Linked DNA regions of Saccharomyces cerevisiae S288C. The gene in region 1 interacts genetically with each later gene. Each region holds a gene or a part of one and is shown on either strand. Other genes may lie near its edges.

Region 1 (9,169 bases):
AGCATCTTCATTAACTTGTTTGGTGTTATTTTCCAAATTCAATAATCTCTTTTTCAACTCTAACACTTCACTTTTCAAGTCATCTCTTTCTTGATTAGTGATGAAGAGTTCCGCTTTCAGATCATTTATTTTGATGTTGAATTGATTTTCTCTTATGCTGTTGCTATTTTTTACATTATTGGAACTCTCCTCGGTGCTTCTGAGACCATTTTCGAAATTTTCACTGCAGACGCCATTTTTGAACTTCAATTCATCTAACTCGTCGATTAACTTTTTATTCAAACTCTTGTACTTCTCTAGCTCTCTTTGTGAAACCATTAGTGCCTTACTTGCACTGTCCATAGAACTGATACTTTCTTTGTAATCATTCTGTATTTTTTTGATTTCATTCTCTTTTACTAATACATCTTGACTTAATGAGCTGTGTTCCATCTTTAAAGCATGGTATTCAGAAGATAGTTTTTCTTTAGATATTGTTAGCTCTTGACTTCTCTCCAGCAAATCGTCCAATCTATTCGTTAGTTTGTTAATCACTACACGGTGGTGACGACTTTGATCACCATAGGGTTCACCGACAGTTTTCTCGCCATTTTCATCCGATACAGATATCAAAGAAGAAGAAGATTCAAGAAACGAAGAGTTGGCTCTGTTTTCTTTCCAATGACTGATCAATGAGCCTAACTGTGACGAGTAATTCGCAACATTATTGATTATATCTTCGTTATGTTGTTTGCTTTCATTTTTCAACCTTTCATTTTCTCTACTCAAATTCTCATGTTCTATCTGTAGTTCTTCAAGTTTTTCTTTGTAATTAGGCTCTAGTTCTAAGGATTTAATTTTTTCGTTCTGAAATTGTATAACTTCATTTAGATTCTCTATGTCTAAGAATTTGCTATTCACCAACTCTTCTAGCTCATTAACTTTATCTTCCAAGGAATGATTATCTGCCTCTAGTATTTCACATTTTGATTGCAGTCTGACGGAATCCAATTCATCTATTTCTTTCGTTGTCCCAGAATTCTTCTGGGATTTTAACTGCCATAGCTCCGTCTCTAATTCCTTTATGTGAGCTCCGGCTTCAAGCGCCTTTTCGTGCGTCAATTCTTTCAAACTTTGCAATTCCGATCTTAATTTCTCAAATAGTGCCCTATCTACGACTTCGGTAGTAGCATCTCTATTTATAGGAACGCTAGCTTCTTCATTTTTCGTATCAGTTGGAACGTCTCCCATTGGGGACACGTTTTTTTCATCACTTGCATCAATAACATGGTTAGCACTATCATGGCCCGCGGTGTCGCTTTTCTTTATTGTAATATCCACAGGCTCGGACAGTTTGTCGATCTCCGTATTATTCTGTGATAATTCTGAAGATTCATTATAATGCTTTATTTTGAACTGATCTTTGGATGGGGAGCTCGCCATTTGAGCCACACCGATTTCGTCGTCTTCGTCAGCAACATTGCCGTCCTCTTCAACCTTGGACATCGAAGATGTGCCTAGTTTGTCCCCGTTTATCTCTTGGTCGAAGGTCGTCGTGGAATCTATTTTTTCATCAGCGTCAGGAAGATGTTTTATTTCCTCTATATTACCATTTTGGGGCGTTTTTATCTCATTACTTGGAAGCGTCTCTAATATTGGGGAGTTATTCTTTATTTGGTTTGCAGGGGTGAGATTATCTCCATAGATTGAAGATGGGATGCGCTGATTTCCAACTGTTGGATCCATAGTTTCAGAAAGATCAGGTTCTTTCTGGATAGTAGGCGTATCAAATGGTTTGTTGGAAGTTATTTTCATAACCGGCGTTTGTGAGCTTTCAGATGGAACATATGGAGTCAAAATGTTAGGCTCAGCAATCAAGTGAGATTCAGAATTTACTGGGTGGCTCTGATTTTGGTGTTCTGTTGACACATTTCGATTGTGTACCTCCCTGTTGAGGCGATCAGCATCTGAAAAATCTTTTGGTGCAGGTGATGGAGCGGAAGCTAGAGGAGCTGCTGAAATTGGTACGTTCATATTTTTAGTTTGATGAGAGGTTGGGGTAACGGGCGTCGCCAGGTCAAGATTACCATTTCTCGGAGTTGGCGTATCAGTTGGAACATCCATTACGCCTGGACAAAGGTCCTTTATGCGGGCCAAGTCTAGCGTATAAACAATTGTACCTCTTTGCATATCAATATCAGAGGTATGCAAGTCGTACTCCTCGACTCTAGCGTAATCAAATTTATCTCCTCCCATAATCAAAATTTTATCATTTTTTAATAATGTTAAAGAATGCCCAGAACGGCCTTGCGGAATTCCAGCCGTAAATACAGGTAATTTAAACCATTTACGCGATTTCAAGTTTAGGAAATACACGGAGTTCAAATAAGCATCATGCTCATCTTTCCCGCCTACAACACACATCAGATCGTTGTAGACTACAGTAGCATGTTCTTGAACTGGAGGAGGCTTTTCACCCGTGGTATCAATGATAAACCAATCATTTATTGCAGGGTCGTACATAAACACATCATTTACTAAACCTTGTAAGGTATCGCCACCAAATACCCATAGTTTAGAATCGTATGATATCATAGTAAAATTGGTAATAGGTGGTGGTGTAAAGGTCCTTGGTTTCAAAAATTCCCAATGAGAGTCCGGTCTTCTAAAAGAAGATAAGTCGTAAACAGCCAAGTCGTTGAAGTAGGTGTCATCAAATTGACCACCAAACACGTACAGTTTTGTTTTCATTTGAGTTGTGGCGATAATCGAAATTTTATGACCGTACCTTCCCAATGGACGTGGTCCCACGGGTGCCGGGACTGTCCATTTATAGGAATTAATATTCAAAAGGTATATGTCATCGTCCATCAAACCTTCCTTATTGACTTTGTGTGTGTCACCGCCAAATACAACAAAGGCATTCCCGCATAATACAGCAGCGTGGCCTACCCTTGGTGGTGGTGTAGCTTCACTTATGTCTATCGTTGTAGTGGAAAATCTGGTGGCATTATCGAAGGCCGTTAATATCCATGTATCGCCGTACACAGATTGGTCATGAAGTCCCCCAATAACATATATCTGGTTCTTGTCTGTAACATATGCTGAAGCAACATGTCTATAACGTGGAAAAGGAGAATTCTGTAACTTGATTCTATTCCATACGGTATATTCTCTCTGTTTTGAAAGCTGCTTATGGAGAGTAGTGGACGGTCCTGAGACATTTCGCTGTTGCGGTGGTACTGCGCTCGGTTGAATCCTTGATTCGGATACCTGTTTTCTGGCAAACATAGGTGGTGAACTAGTTTTATTAACATTAGAATGGTAACCTTGTGAAAATTGACGCCCTTTCTGAGGCGTTTCTTGTTTTGTGAAAAATTTTTCATTTGGAGGAGTTGACAGTGAAGCTTCTCTAGATTGGTCAGAGATAGAAGCATCAGAAGGCGTCTTTCCATGTTTCTTGTGAGTGAATTTCTTGGCGAAGCTGAATCCAGCCATGTTTGAGTTATTTTCTAGGTGCAAATTGAAGCAAACGGGCTCTAACTTTTCCTGAAAAATTACTGTGAATTTGTTAATAAGTGTAAGTATCACAAATCAAGCAAAACAATTACTTTATAGAACGAGCCCTGTTGCTTTTCTATATCTTATTGTTTCGTATTTTAAAGGAATGCTTGCTTGTAGTTTACTATCAACAACCGCGTCGCCAAGTCCCCAGAAGACGTGCCGCGTGATTCCAAAGGTGATGAAGGGTACAAGTTGTAAAGTTCAATATAATAGGTAAGGAAAAAGGCCAATACTAACTGTGCTTTTCTCAATTACCACTACATGGATCCGAGGATAATTAAATCTATCTCCTAGGGCACTGATATGAATAAATTTGACGAGTTTATAGAGTCTAATGAGAAGGATTTGGATGTGGACACCAGTACCCGAAATAGTATAATTTCGATGTCACCTGTGAGGAAAACTGGACGAAAGATTCGTTCTGCTAGTTCCAATGGATATAGGCTAGAACACCATCGTACGTCCAGTGCGGGAAGCATGCATTCGCAAAGACTAATGACGCCTACCAGATTAAATGACCAGGACCATCCCTTACAAGCCAAGCCAGATGCTAGGAGGGTGGTAACTCGTCATTCTTCTGTCTCAGTTCCAAATGCAATGAGCAAGAGAAGATCACTTATTCAACCCATGGTTGTTCCCACTACACCAGAATCTCAAAACAACTTACCTTCAGTAAGTCATTCTGAGGGATCCTATGGAATCCCATTAGAGTCAACCACTGTACTTTCTAGTGAGCAAGCGATGGCCAGCGGACTTCGACGGTCTAGAAATGGGAGTTCGCAGTCGGTTAATAGTATGATAGCGACCACCATACCAACAAATGGGGTCGATGTAAGTGCGCTTCTACAATCTCTCGCTACAAAAGAGTTAGAACTTCTGGAATGCAAACAAAAGATTGAAGATTTGAAAAAGCAAACCCAGCATGAAGAGCAAAACTATACTCGTCGGGCACGTGAACTGCATGAACTCAAGGAGCAAGTGAGTAAACATTTGGATCCCTCTCTAAATACACCTGTTAAAAACCGGGCTTTTTCACCGGTTTACCAGAATATACCTTTGGAATCACGAACTGAAAATGCTGGTAACAGCAGCCTTCCTAGTTCTGTCAGTAAACCAAAGAACATGGGTCATCAAAGTACTAATCAGTCAAGATCTGTGTCTCCGCAAGATATTCAAGAAAGGCGCCAAAGGGACGACTCGTCAGATTCATCCAAACAGTCACTTTGGAGCAAACCATTAGCTCTGTTTAATCAGTTTGATAAAATCATTCAGCATGAAATTGAAAGAACTCTGAATTGGGATGACTCTCTTTCAGGTACGCCTGAGGTACAGGAAGGGACACCGACTAGTAATAGCGAGTCGTCCGCGCAACAGTACGATAATGAAGCACCTGGAGCTCGCCAAAAATCTCCTTCGCAAGGATCAGTCTCCAGGTCGCTTTGGAGCTTTGTTAGCGATGTCAAGGCCGGATTACTCGGTATAGAAGAAGAAAACGATAATGATGTTATTACTGATAACAGATGTGATCCTGTATATAAAAGCGATAGACAGCATGAACAGAAAAAAAGTACACATAAAATTACGAACCGGGGGCAAGCAGAAGATAGTGGCGACGATTCTAGTTTAAACATGAGGAAATTTAAAACGACAACTAAGTTCCAGAAAGACAATGCTGGGAATAATAGTCTCACAGATGAAAGTGGACATCGAACACGAGAAAAAAAAAGTAAAAGAAGTAGTAACAAGCTAAGTTTTATTGGAGAACCCGATAATGATAATTCCTCCGTCAAAAACTCAGTTGAAATGACAGACTTCTAATTCCTTTTTCAAAATGACGTTTATTCTTCACTTGTCACTCTTTTTACGTATAGCTGTGAACGCAGTATGTAATTTAATACTGTTTTCTCTTGAAAGTGGTTAAAAAGTGTTATATATCTGAAATTCATGGTTTAAATTAAAGAAATTTCAAGGCCCGTTAAGCAATTCTGTCTTCAACATCATGGAACTCAAGACCAGCCCAGTTTCCTGAATTCTGAAAACAAAAACCTACGTGTTTTTGAAGGTTTCTTTCTGTACCGTTATCCTTCTTTAAAACTATAGAACCATCACTAATGCTGCCCATCAGCCCCATAAACTTTGAACTGTTTAGTCTTTCTTTTACATCTTTATTGGCACTATTATTATCGCAAAACTCAATTATATCGGAAGCCAAACCTTTCATGGCAGTTTCTTCATCTTCCAGACTCGTACCTGAATTTTCCTCTTCTGTATGGACATCTTCTTCCAAACTACTGGCTTCCAGTTCCGAAAATTCAGCATTAATTAAAGAATCAATGTGGCTGTTGATAGGATGTTCTAAACCTGTTGTCTTGAATATCTGATGGTCAACCACAGGGAAGGAAGCAATGTTAAAGTTTTTCTGTGAATAAAAGCCTAAGGGAAAATCTGTCTGAGATGTCCGTAGCCCGTTGTTTATATTAAGATTCGCGATTTGATTTTCGATGGGCGGTTCAACATTCTTAGGGAAGTTATATCTAAAATCCTTGGCCCAAGAAGTTTCATTGTCATTTAGATTTGGCGCTTCAAATTTGTAACTTTGATCCTCTAAGGTTCTAGGACGAATATTTACGTAGGACCGTGATTGATTCAAATCTTCTGAGTGTTGTAGAAATTTCAGCTCAATTTTATCCTTCAGAATCGGTGGTGAATTCAGTCTGCTCCCGATTTTGTTAAAAGAGAGCGTATTGTCCCTGCCCGTAAAAGGCCCCTTTTCTGTACTACTAATAAATTTATTCACCTCATTCGTTTGGCATCGGTTACTATTCATTGTTTGTATTTTATATCATTTGTCCATTGAAGTTTAGACAAGTATCAAATACCCAGTTTTCGTCTTTTCCCTTATATAGGTCGTCTCGGAAATAACAATATAAACTCCATGGTGCGGCGCTATCGAAATCTTTTGTTGGCGGGAGGAATTGAAGACAGTAAGATGTAAGTATTACATACTATAGGACAAATGCAAAATATGTACAAAATGGCAAAAATTACATAGCTCTTCCTTACAACTATATATAGCTATCCAAAGATGCACTTGAGTACTCCCTTACATACCTGATTATACTAGATATTACATATCAATTAAATTGAGGTTGTTAGCATATTGGTTTCCTAAAACTGGTTGCTGTGTTTGAGACTGTTCCGGTTGTGGTTGCTGTTGTGGATAGAAAGGGAAATTTTGAGGTTGAACTGTCCCAGTTATATTTGTAACAGGGTTGGCTCCTGCAGTTGCAGGCACATAATAACCCTGTTGTGGTTGCTGTTGTTGCTGTTGCTGTTGTTGCTGTTGCTGTTGTTGCTGTTGTTGGAGATGATTCTGAGTGTAGTGAGCCTGAAATTCCATTTTATCAAAACGCTGAGGAATATTCATCGATCCCTGCATGCTAGTAGGGGTTGTCATAACGCTATTGATCGAGCTCAAAGGCATTTTTTGTTGTTGAAATTGTTGTTGATTGTACGTTTGGTTTTGAAAAGGGTTACTTATTATCTGTTGTTGTAGCGGCATATTGGTATTTTGTTCATCAAAGTTTGGTCGTGAAAATGGGTTATTTAAGACATTTTCGTGTGCAGGATTCCCTGTTGCGATCGTCGCGGCGTTGTGCAATGCGAACGGGTTGTTAGAACCAGTTTGTGAATGAGAGACTTGTTGATTAGAAGCGGCAGTTGTATCCTGTGAAACGGAGTATCCTCCAAACCCTGCACCTGTAAATGTGGGTGTTAAATGGTTGTTAATCGAATAGTACCCCGTTTGTTGGGCACTTACGCCAGCATCTTGTACAGGGTTGAAGTTCACTGTGTGTTGGACCGCTGCATATTCAGGAACGTTTAAATTTGCGGGCTCTGTATGAGCGGTTGGTGTATTCATCACCTGTGGCTGAGTTTGAGATACAAATGGGTTATTTGCGATCTGTTGCGTTTGATTAGCCACAGCCATTGGAATGTTAGTATGCATAGAAGAGTCTGTTCCAAACGGGTTGTAAGATTGAGCCGCCGTGACAGTAGTTAGAGCAGGGGAAATCGCTACTTGTTCGTTTTTCAATTGTGCCTCTAGTATCCTTTTTTGTTCCCGGATTTGCTCCAACCTTTCCTGTGCAGTAGATTTGGCTACTACGGCCCCAGCACTTCCTTGAGAACTGTCAACGGGCACAAAAGTGTTGTGCGTCTTATCATCCTCTATCAGATGTTCTTCTAGCGATCTGACCAGTTTGGTAGTGATATGCTTGATGACGGGTATTTTCAAGCCCGCAGTCTTCCCGCTCTTCAAGTACCTGACAACGTGCTCGGTCAAATCAACAAACGTCTTGTACAGGTCTAGAGTTCTCTCTGCATTATGATGAGATAGTTCGAAAAAAGACTCCAGCAGAGTTATGATACCTTCGTTGAGAGCATTATATAGCGCTAGCAGGTCTTGAATAAGCAGCTTGAAACCAAATATGATCAATTCGTTACTCAAATCATATTGTGTATACTTGTTTTTAATCAGGGCTTGTATTTGTACCTCTAGGGACTCCACATGATCTAGTGCTATATTGATAGAGTGTTGCTTGTTTCTGGAGCTTCCGTAATTGCCACTGTTCAGCTTCAGTGTTCGATAGCCGTCTCTCACATAGTCCTTTTTGATTTTACCAAACTCCCTGCATCTCACCTTCAGATAATTATCGTATCTATCAAGTGCCCTCATGTCTCCAGACGCACTGCCATTGGAGCCACGTATGTTTTCAATGTCAAAAAACTCCAGGTTCCTAGAGTAGTACCGCAATGCAACATCTTTGGAACCCTCCCTTATCATCAAATGAACCACCAACAGCGATTTATACACAATAGTCCACGCCGTGTCATTAATTCGGGAATCCAAACCCTTCACGATCTCATAGAAATCCTCTTCATTGCTGGTCCCCAACAGTATCGGATCCAGATACTTCTGTTTGGGCGGGGCTGACTTGATCTTGGTAGCACCTTTTACCAACTTGAAATATGTTGTCATCTCGCCTCAATCGAAATTTATACTCTAGTATCTGCGATATCGAACAGTCCCTTTATATTTACGAGACAGGTTTTGTCCTTCCTCCCCCACCAAAAAGACGCTATAAAATACTAAATATATCTAATATCGCTACTGCTCAATTCACCTAACGAATGATTACCACCAAGCATCAACACCATGTGCATACCATACCGCTAACTAAACTCACCAACGCTGGAAGCCTGAATACCAAGTATCGAACTGAGGCCCCTGTGTTACCAATCCGTAAAAAGTGATGGAACCCGCCGCTCGCTTCCAAGAGTTATCATCATATTCTTCATCATATTCTTCCATACTTAAGGTGGGTAGCGAGGACCCCTCAATTCCCCCACCTCTCTGCCAGGGCGTCATCTTTTTCTACAAAAGCCAGGCTGAGTCACGTCAGTTGCTGACCCTGGGGGCTGCATTGTTTCCTACGAATTACTCATTTGTTTCGTGCGCTTTCCTATTGCGCGCATGACTAGGATGGAAAAAAAAAGAAGAAAAAGAAAAGCGTTGAGTATATAATAAGAAAGAAGAAAAAGTCCGAGAGAAAAGAAGCACAAA
Region 2 (5,801 bases), on another chromosome or scaffold:
TGAAGATGAAACTATGTTTGTGGGGTTGAAAGAAAAACAGAAGTTACATTTATCTGGTGTTTTCCGGCTGCAAGTGGTGAAAGGAGGTATTGTCTACAACAATGTACACTATAACGCTTCGAGAGAAATTTTAACCTTCTGGCACCCGTTATCACAGTCCATACCTACTATAGATTTTTCGCACTTTGCAGGCTGGCAAGACACTTTTTTTATGCCGAGAAACAACAGGTTTAAAATTAGAGATGAAGAATTCAAATCATTTCCATGTGTTCTTCGCGTTTTTAATTCTAATCATACGGGCTTGTTAGAAGCAGGTCATTTATATCGGGATGTTAATTATCTATGGAAACCTAAAGAACCTTACTTTCCATTAAACGAGAGAACAACGTATCATTTATTACATGAGTCAGACCGAATTCAATCTTTATCCGTGCCGGGATATTGGTCAACTCCGTTAGAGAAGTTATATTTGAGTCACAAGAACGCTGCGTATGATACAAGAATCATGGTGATTGGTGGTAAAAACTCTGGGAAGTCTACATTCTTGAGGCTTTTATTGGAAAAATTTACGCAAGATATACGAGATTCTACTACGAGCCAGGAAGAATTGGTATACCTGGATTTAGATCCTGGTCAACCTGAATACTCACTACCTGATTCAATATCCCTGAATAAGATTCTTTCCAGCCCTATTTCTCTCGGACAACATCTCTGCCAAGGTTCAAATTTCCAAACTTTGTTACAGTTCTACGCTGGCTCCTCTTCCCCGCAGGACGAGCCCACATCATACCTGAACTGCGCTGATAAACTTATAGACCATTTGGAAGAGCAAGCCTTCTTCGGAACGTCATTGCTTAATCTACCTGGGTGGATAAAAGGATTCGGGATGCAGATTTTAAATCATATAATAAGGAAATATAAGCCCACTCACTTATTGTTTTTGGAAACAGCTAATTCGAAAAGACACCTGGATGAACTAACAATTCCACAGAGTTTTTCCACATCACTACGAGATGCATATGCACCTGAAGTTGTTCGCGTTCCAGCCCATAGTCTGAACCACACCTTATCTTCTAGGTTCCATGCATCACAACTGAGAACATTCAAAATACTGGCACTGTTTCATAAAATAACTCAATTTGATTATGATTTTGCGCCTCTTTTAAAATCTGCACCTTTGCAAATTTCATATGGCAAAGGTAAAAGCGGTATTAAAGGCATTCAATTTCCTATGGAATTCCAGGATCTGAATCCTCAAGATATCAAGTCCGCATTGGAAGGTACTGTCATTGGGATATATACATATTCTGGAGAAGACTCACTAGAGGTGAAATCCTTGAATACCTTTCCCATCCTACAATCGTGTACTTCTTCTTCTAAAAATTTCATAACTCTGGGGCTGATACACTCTATTGACACCTCCCAGCAAATAATGAACATTTACGTGCCACCTTGCCATACCCAGATTTTAGATAAACAACCTGAGGATGCTCAATGGATAATAGTAAGAAATAAGACGGAAACTCCTTTTTGTGACTTTCTTCCATCCCCCCGCACAATTACATGGGATGATAATATACAAATACCGTTCGCAACTTTTGAAAGAAGGAAAAAATTGGAACATGTGTGGAAAGTTCGTAAGAACGTCATGAGACGTGGCCAATTCATGAAAAGATAGAAAGAAAAGGTAATCGTACATTTTTTAATAGTGAAAGATAGAGGATACACAAAAATCATGCAAAGTTTTATATATTTGTTATGTATACTCATATTCCTTCAATATCTAAGTCATACTAACTTCTAGGGACTTTACCAAAATATTATTTATAAATTTATTGTTTCATTTCTTCCGCATCCTTCATCTCCTCCGTTAAACCCATTTTCTTATTTAATCTATCATATTTCAGTCTATCTTTATCGCTCACAGAGGGTTTAATCTTTCTTAATGCACTTCGGAAGTCAGACATGGTCACAATAATTTCTTCGCCAGATACGCCAACCGATAGATCCTCAAATTCCTTGTCTAAGTCATTATCAAGAACAGATTGTATTTCTTCGCTCTGAAAAAACTTCCTTTTTAGAGCCAAGACTGAACTCTCCCTGACTAAAGCAGCCAAGTCAGCGCCTGAAAAATTGTTGCACTTCTCATTTCTGATAATTTCTTCAAAATCAACATCGCTACTCAGAGGTGTTCCGTGTGATTTGGTCAAAGTTTTGATAATATCTAGTTTTTCCTCAGTATTAGGTAACTCAATAAACAAACTCTTATCCAATCTGCCCGGTCTTAACATAGCAGGATCAATCATATCAGGTCTATTAGTGGCGCCAATCACAAAAATTCCCCTTCTATCGTTCAGCCCATCTAATTCCGTTAACAAAGTGTTGACGACTCTTGAGGAGGATTCGGACAAAGAAGTATCTCTTCTTGGCACCAAAGCGTCCAGTTCATCAAAAAATATAACACACGGTACAGACGCCCTTGCTCTAGTAAAAACTTGTCTGATGGACCTTTCTGATTCACCAACGTATTTATTTAATAATTCAGGACCTTTGATTGATATGAAATTTGCACGAGATTCATTGGCAACAGCTTTTGCTAGTAACGTTTTACCACAACCTGGTGGTCCCCACAATAAAACACCACCAGGGGCGCTAATTCCCACTTTTTCATAAAGCTCTGGTCTCTTGATGGGTTGCACAATAGCCATATTTAATTCAAGTCTAACTCTTTGCAATGCGCCTACATTAGCCCAAGTAACATCAGGTACCGTAGCGAACCCTTCTCTCTTTGCTGTTGGTTGAATTGTTGGCAACGCTTTCAAAAAATCTTCGTACTTAATCGATAATAATGATAACTGCTCTCCTGATAAAGGCTCAGGATAATTACGAATAAATTGTTGGACTACGGATAAAGGCAACGGATCGATCATATTCGCAGTGTTCTTCAGGCTAGATTCATCTCCGTTTGCTGTTTCATCAATTTCCATGTTATCTTCTGAACTGTCCGTTGCCGTAGTTGGTGTGGATTTTATATTAGCATAGGTTTGGAAAATTCTTTTAATAGCGCATGTACCGGCAGCAGTAACTAAAGCCTTTAAATCAGCGCCAACAAAGCCTGGGGTTAATTTTGCCAATTTGGCAAAATCGATAGCACCATCAATTTTTAGGTTATCAGACATTTTCTTTAAAATATGTAACCTTGAGACTTCATTCGGGACATTCAGGCATATTTCTCTATCGAATCTACCTGCTCTTCTCAATGCTGCATCCAAAGAGTCAGGTCTATTCGTGGCACCTATGATAATAACAGGTTTTCCATTTGTCTTTTCCATCGTTAATTCATCCATTGAGGTCAATAATTGGGCAACTATTCTTCTCTCCATTTCTCTTTGGGCTCCTCCATCACGTTTTGGTGTAATGGCATCTATTTCATCAAAGAAAACAAGACATGGTGCCAAGCTTCTCGCTTCATCAAACAAATCCCTAATCTTTTTCTCGCTTTCCCCAGACATACCACTTACGACTGAAGGTGCAGAAATAGATATAAATGGGACTTGTAATTCTCCAGCTAACGCATTAGCAATCGACGTCTTACCGCAACCCGGTGGGCCATGCAACAGAACACCTCTAGGTGGTTCGACACCCGTGGATAAAAATATCTCTGGATGAAGAATGGGTAGACCTATTAGTTCCATAAGTTGTGCAACGACATCATCCATACCACCTAAGGATTTCAGAGACGAATTAGGTGGAGATCTATCTTCCTTGATTTTTTGACGTTTTACCTTACATGTACCTTCTTTGGATCTTTTTTTAGATTTTTTAACCTCTTCTGTCTTAGGATCATCAGTTTCTGTTATAGACTCGGAAACAGATCCAGATTTGGACCACGTGCTAGTTATGCGTTTGTTCATCTCATTTGTGTCTCGCTCAATCATCATATTTTTCTTAGCTAGTTCTTCTTCCAAGCTTGGTTTCTCTTCCTCTTCGTTGTTGTAACCTGGGTAAGAACCAAATTCTTCCAATTCTGATTCAATCACGTCTTTTAGCATGCGGTCAATTGTCTTTTGTAAGACAACTTTCTTAACTCTTTGAAGTGATAAATCTTTAGTCAAACAAAAGGTAAAAATCTCACCTGCTGTTAAATCTTTAGCGAAAAACATGGATTCAAATATATCCTCATCTTCTTCACCCTCGTTGTTCTCGCCCTCTTCTCCTTGGGATTCTTGTCTCAGAGACCTTTTTCTGTCCAAAGTTTTTTCTTCCAAGAGACGATAGATAAGATCGACGATCTTGTTATCTAGAGAACTTGTTAATGAGTTCTTTTTCGACTTTACTTTAACCATTATTCCAGCCTTCCCACCACGTAGCTATTATCGGCCCTAATGATCTTTTATTCTAACTGACTCGCAGATTAATTCACACATCGGTTGTTAATCATTGTTTGAATTTCCAAAATATGCGATGAGCTGAATGAAAAATTTTGGAACCTGTCACTATCGACGAACATCGAAGTTTGCCATGACAACCATATATGAAGAAAGCTTATGAGACTAGCTCGAGTATATCATACGTATGCATGTTAATCGCAGTTAAGCGGATAACACAATGCGTAAGCCTTCTATTACGATAACAACAGCAAAAGCTATTATAACTCCAGACTATACTCTTATTAAATCGCATTCTAAATACCAACTTCCTTCACGTTTTCAAAAGCTAGATGCAGACTCACCTGAGAGAAGTACAGTTGTTAAGCTATTTTACCGCCGATTTATGAGGCTTAAGCCTTTCATATCGAATGTGAAAATGGTTAAAGATACTTACAGGGATTATGTTCGATATAAGTTTATGAAAGAAAACTACGAACTCAAACGATACTTGGTATTCAATCCTGATGGCTTGAGGTCGAAAATCAATCTTGAGCTTCTCAGCAACACGAAATGTTGTGAAAGGATACTCCCCGTGACTGAGATGCAAAGAACCTTGGAATTTGTTCTGAAGAGCTGTTCATACTTGCCCGAAACAAAAGTTCAAAAGTGGGATATTGCAAGGGACAACACATATTGCAGGCAAATTTTAAAGAACCTTTTAACAATGCAATATGAAAAGTACAGATCGATTTTGCATAGAGGAATAGGCCATGATGAGCTTGACGTCAAATTCTCTCATTTGAAAACTACTTCTAGTCCGCTAACTAAGCTAAATAAAACCGAAAAGAAAAAGATTCCGCTTTTCAAAGTATTTAGTGATTTCGATACAACATTGATATATCTCAATGAGACATTAGGTACAAGGTTATAAAGATCATTATCGTAAAAGAGGAGCGGAGCGGAGCTTTTTAGTATGTATGGTAAAATATCAATCAAATACTGTAATAGATGCGGATATGCGCAATGACATATTTTGTGGTGTGCATATCCATTGAAAAGGTGCGTAGAACGTTACAATACTACTGAACTTTTTTCCTTCTCATTTTCTGCCATTTTGATATTTATGCCTATTATTGGTTTGAGCTTTATTAGAGTTGGCATAATTATAATCGTACTCGTATGTATATCCGTATCCATACCCATATCCGTTGTAATAAGTGTTTGGTATATATCCTTTGATGGCTTGGGCTCCTCCTACCGTCGTTATAACAGGCATTTTGTGGCGTTGTGGTGAGGCTCCTGATTGGCTGGTATTATCGATGGTCGTACGACTTTTGGCATTATTCATTGATCTGAAATTGCCATTGGTATTGCTATTACTGGTGTTACTCTTGCTGGAGGCAGACCCTAGAACAAATTTTTTAATTATTT
Region 3 (5,014 bases), on another chromosome or scaffold:
AGAAAGTTTCAAACCTCTTCAATTTATCGGACTTTTTACAGTTGTTCAATGGTAATGCTAGTAAAGATCAAGATGATGCACAGAGCTTGGAAAAGCAAATGGAAACAGACTATAACAATGCAGATAACAGTCAAGGCGCTAATGCTAGTAGCAAAATAGAAGATGGCAAAAATTCGGGCGCAAGCGATAGACAAATTAGAAGTAACAGAAGAGATGTGGATAACTTGATACTATGCGTTCACGGTATAGGTCAGACTTTGGGTAAGAAGTACGAATACGTAAATTTCGCACACACGGTAAATCTACTTAGGTCTAATATGAAAAAAATCTACAATAATTCTGAGAAACTACAATCATTAAACACAGCACCTGATTATAAAAGCAACTGTAACGTTCAAGTGCTACCCATCACCTGGAGGCACTCGATAAGTTTCCAAACGGATGCTAAGGAGGAAAATATAGAAAATCCTGACCTACCGACTTTGTCACAAGTCACAGTAAATGGAGTGTTACCCTTGAGGAAGCTACTGGCTGACGGTCTACTAGATATTTTGTTGTATGTCGAACCATACTACCAAGATATGATTCTACAACAAGTAACCTCTCAATTGAACAAAACATATCGGATTTTTAAAGAATTTAATCCAGAGTTTGATGGGAAAGTCCATTTAGTGGGCCATTCGTTGGGTAGTATGATATTATTTGATATTCTATCCAAACAAAAAAAATATGAATTAGAATTTCAAGTAGACAACCTGTTCTTTATTGGCTCACCAATTGGATTGTTAAAGTTAATTCAAAGAACAAAAATTGGTGACCGTCCCGAATTTCCCAATGACTTGGAGAGAAAATTAACCGTACAGAGACCGCAATGTAAGGACATTTATAATGTTTACCACGTCTGTGATCCCATTTCTTATAGGATGGAACCTCTTGTTAGTAAAGAAATGGCTCATTACGAACAAACTTATTTACCACATTGTAGTGAAGCTTATGGACTAACTTCTAAAGTTTTGGAATTTGGCGAAAACATATGGAAAGATTTGCCAGGTACTGATGAAAATAATTTGCAGTCCAAAAAAACTTCTCCAGAAAAAAAAGAGGTCAAGTTATCAGAAAATCTTACGAGAATGCTTACAGGTTTGAATTACACCGGACGTCTAGATTATGCTATGTCTCCAAGTCTGCTAGAAGTGGATTTTATATCAGCTATAAAATCACATGTTTCTTATTTCGAAGAACCGGATATTGCAGCGTTTATCCTAAAAGAAATTTTAAGTAAACATGAAAATGCATCAGAAATATATGTAAAAAGAAAGACTGGTTGATCAGTAAACGCAAGGCACAAGTTTTTTTTAACTTTTTTCTTTACTGTCTATTATAGTTCCACTGTGTAAGGTTGTATTCTTTCCGTACTTCAACTTGCGGGTAACAGGATTGACACCTTTTCAATTTTTTCCGTTATTTTGGATTAGAAATTTTCGGTAAGCTCATCGAGTATTGTAAAAGAGCAATGCCCTTTGCTTATTAGATGTTGAGGGGCATATCTATTGTTAATATAGATTGATACAGCTGTGGAGATTATTTCTAGATATACGATGAAGTACATTATTGAGCATATGGAGGAAGGGTTTAGTGAATGGGTCATTTTAGAGTATAGCCAAATCCTGAGAGAAGTAGGAGCTGAAAACTTGATTTTATCATCGTTACCAGAGAGTACCACGGAAAAGGACATCCCTCAAAGGCTACTAAAACTTGGTTTAAGATGGACTACAAAGGATTTGAAGGGCATTAACGAAGATTTCAAGGATTTGGAACTGTTAAAAGATGGCAGAGTCTGTCTATTGGACCCTAGGGCTACAATCGATTTACAGCCGGAGGATGCTACGAAATTCGACTATTTCGTATTTGGTGGCATATTGGGTGATCATCCTCCAAGAGATCGTACCAAAGAACTAAAGACTGCCTATCCGAATCTTTTAATTAGCAGAAGACTAGGTGATAAACAAATGACTACGGATACTGCCATAAGAACAACACAGTTGATTATCAAAGACAGGATTGCATTTGAAGACATCAAGTTCATTGACTACCCTGAATTTAGGTTCAATAAAAATGAGGCCACGGAAATGCCATTTAGATACGTTTTAGATAAAGAAGGTAAACCTATTTTGCCTGAAGGGATGTTGGATTTGATCAAGAAGGATTCTGCTCAAAGTTTGGACGATCTGTTGATGTAGATGAGAACAGTCCTTTAAGTAACATTCTATGGTTGTAATAAGTGATGATGCTTCCTTGTCAAAGAGTTAGTTGAAAAGTTTAGGGTCGTAGCATTAATTATATTGTATATAGTTCAAAAACGACATTCAATGAAAAAATCAAGTTTATTAGCCAATGAATATTTCGTATTTTGCGTTAGTAGCGCTACCAAGACTTCTGAAAAGTGCATGCAAGAAAAATAAAAACAAGGAACCGTTTACTTTTATGATATCATCATTGTCAGGCCAAATAGGATAAAATTGATTGGTTGTATTATGCTTTTTAATTGAAAAAAAAAGTAGAAACTTTTATTATTTTATTTAAATTAATTTCTTTACATTACTTGCATCTAAAACCAAACGAGCTGGTGACTTCAAGCACTGCACTAGTTGCCATGGCTTTGCTAATTCAGACGACCCCCTTGAGGTGAAAAAATAGTCTCAGTAATGAAACAATCATAGGCAATTAGTTCGATTTTTTATAATTATCTTCCAGCCTTTCAAATATTGAAAGGCCATCAACTATCACTTACACCTGAGTGTTGTCATTGATCCGTAAAGTAAAAAGAGGCAAGTTTTGTGCATATTCGTATCATGCACAATGGCCTAAGGCAAGTATTTTCAGTGTTTTTTTTTTTTCATTGCCGTTTTGCTATTCAGAATATATTGAATTATATGTATAATGCATACTTAATAGAAAGAAGGACGCTAATTTTCGTTATAGAACAGTAGTTTCAAAAAGTGCTTCAAGTTTATAGAAATCAGTGCATCCCTTCACTGAACGATGAAGAACACCACCATTTCAGAAATTTTTATACATAATCAGTTGGCTTTCGTATCCTGCCTCGTATCTTTCTCTAAATCATTTAAAAATCCTTCAATACTCTTTACGACATCATCGTCCTTTCCCATAGCATCTGAGTTTGAACTTTCACCGCTTTTTTGTTGGCTCAAGGCAGAACTATTCTTGCCTTCATTTTTGGTTTTTGGTTTCGTGGTAAAGTAAGATGCCACTGCAGCAGTAGCGATAAACGTAGATATAGCCAATACGTGAGGTTGAACCGTCTTCCCAAATACTTTGTATGCAGCACCCATTGAGATAGCTATATTTATTTTTGTATATCTTATGTTTAGAAACAGTAGCGACCTTTCTTACTTGTTCCTTCAAAACTTGACTTAGATAACTATTTACCCTTAAACCGTTAGCTCTGTATTATGGACTGTGAAATTACACCTCGTTACCCGAAGTTCTATTATATTTTCAATCCATACTCCTATGATCTCTTCATTGGGAAAAAAAGGTCCACTTTCTCCTGGATTGCTCGAAGGCTTTCCGTAAAGAAAATACCTTTTATTTTTCTTTGCTTTCTTTCTCCATTAAATAGTAAACGCCTCTTTCTGAGGCAGCTGGCTAAAAAAATGTAACAAGGAATTTTATTTTATTACGGTTCAGCAAAGGCCGTAACGATAGTTGTATTATTTTCGTTCATATGTAGCAGCGATGGTAGCATTTTTTATTGTATAAATTGTGGCTTGCGTCGATTATCTTATTATGCCACTCATAATAAAAAGTTACTCTCAAAATGTCAATATTCAATAATGCATGTCTGTCTTTTTAATTTAGTACATACGTAGGATTAGGTATTGGAAGCAATCATAATGAGTTCTAAAGTTGTTATTTCTCACTTATTGCACCTCTCGAAGTTCTCTCATTAGCCGCCCAATTCTCATTCGTGTGAAGGTCATTAACGGGGTAATGCCCGTCATCAATGATAGAAATTTCTAGAATCTTGAAGGAATGGGAAAAAGAAGCTTGATTATGTATAAAATTAGTCAAAACGCTTATACAGTACAAACTTATTATGTGCTAGGTTTAAAATAATTTCTGATAGAAGCCATTGATCGAAAATATATTGAATCTACAGAAAAAAAAGAATGTCCACCCTTTTGAAGTCTGCTAAATCTATCGTTCCATTGATGGACCGTGTCCTTGTCCAAAGAATCAAGGCACAAGCAAAGACAGCATCCGGGTTGTATTTACCTGAAAAGAACGTGGAGAAGTTAAACCAAGCTGAAGTTGTTGCCGTAGGCCCGGGCTTTACTGATGCTAATGGTAATAAGGTTGTTCCTCAAGTTAAAGTTGGTGACCAAGTTTTGATTCCACAGTTTGGTGGTTCTACCATTAAATTGGGTAACGACGATGAAGTTATTCTTTTCAGGGACGCTGAAATCCTGGCTAAGATTGCCAAGGACTAAGAATGATGTCTTCTTCAACAGAGATTTTATATACATACTCTATATGTATGTACCTGTAAATAGGCCATTATGTATGACAGGAAAAAAAAATAATTGAACTCAAATTTCTTCTGCTATTCAGTTGCTGCCCCCAATTGTCTGCTAATAAAATTGATCTATTCATCAATAGGAATTTTAGGGACACTATGTGTACAAACTATCCGCTCATATTTTGCCGAATAAGAACAATGATTTCTTCTTTTTTTTCTTCTTCTTTTTCTTGTCGTTACGATCATCACTTTCAAAAACATCGCCACTGCTACTATTCCTTCTACTGGATGATTTATTTCCAGAGGAACTTCCACTTTTAAACACCTTAAAAATCCCAACTCCACCCCCAGTGAAGGTGTTCACAGTACTAAAACTAGACGAGCTTTTCTTTGACCCTGCACTACTTGAGGAGTCATTAGTTTTGACTTTTCTTAACGCACCGGCACTTTTAACTTTCCTCAAAGGAATGC

The links.
Region 2: mutations in TDA11 (region 1) and IRC19 together harm fitness more than expected from each alone (negative genetic interaction), as found in Saccharomyces cerevisiae (one large-scale study listed by BioGRID).
Region 3: mutations in TDA11 (region 1) and HSP10 together harm fitness more than expected from each alone (negative genetic interaction), as found in Saccharomyces cerevisiae (one large-scale study listed by BioGRID).

Annotation. Positions count from the first base shown.
Region 1 is NC_001140.6:413,703-422,871, forward strand, and holds TDA11 (Tda11p), read left to right. Parts: upstream 1-3,846; coding exon 3,847-5,361; downstream 5,362-9,169. Other genes in the region: KEL1 (Kel1p), read right to left, coding at 1-3,477; PEX18 (Pex18p), read right to left, coding at 5,519-6,370; YAP1801 (Yap1801p), read right to left, coding at 6,671-8,584.
Region 2 is NC_001144.5:68,801-74,601, forward strand, and holds IRC19 (Irc19p), read left to right. Parts: upstream 1-4,608; coding exon 4,609-5,301; downstream 5,302-5,801. Other genes in the region: GRC3 (polynucleotide 5'-hydroxyl-kinase), read left to right, coding at 1-1,678; putative AAA family ATPase RIX7, read right to left, coding at 1,833-4,346; YLL032C (uncharacterized protein), read right to left, coding at 5,470-5,801. UniProt on the Saccharomyces cerevisiae protein: Involved in sporulation and maintenance of the mitochondrial DNA. Is probably involved in a pathway contributing to genomic integrity.
Region 3 is NC_001147.6:370,024-375,037, reverse strand, and holds HSP10 (Hsp10p), read left to right. Parts: upstream 1-4,193; coding exon 4,194-4,514; downstream 4,515-5,014. Other genes in the region: DDL1 (putative carboxylic ester hydrolase), read left to right, coding at 1-1,328; protein-arginine N-methyltransferase SFM1, read left to right, coding at 1,599-2,240; MCO10 (Mco10p), read right to left, coding at 3,081-3,353; YOR019W (uncharacterized protein), read right to left, coding at 4,719-5,014. UniProt on the Saccharomyces cerevisiae protein: Eukaryotic CPN10 homolog which is essential for mitochondrial protein biogenesis, together with CPN60. Binds to CPN60 in the presence of Mg-ATP and suppresses the ATPase activity of the latter.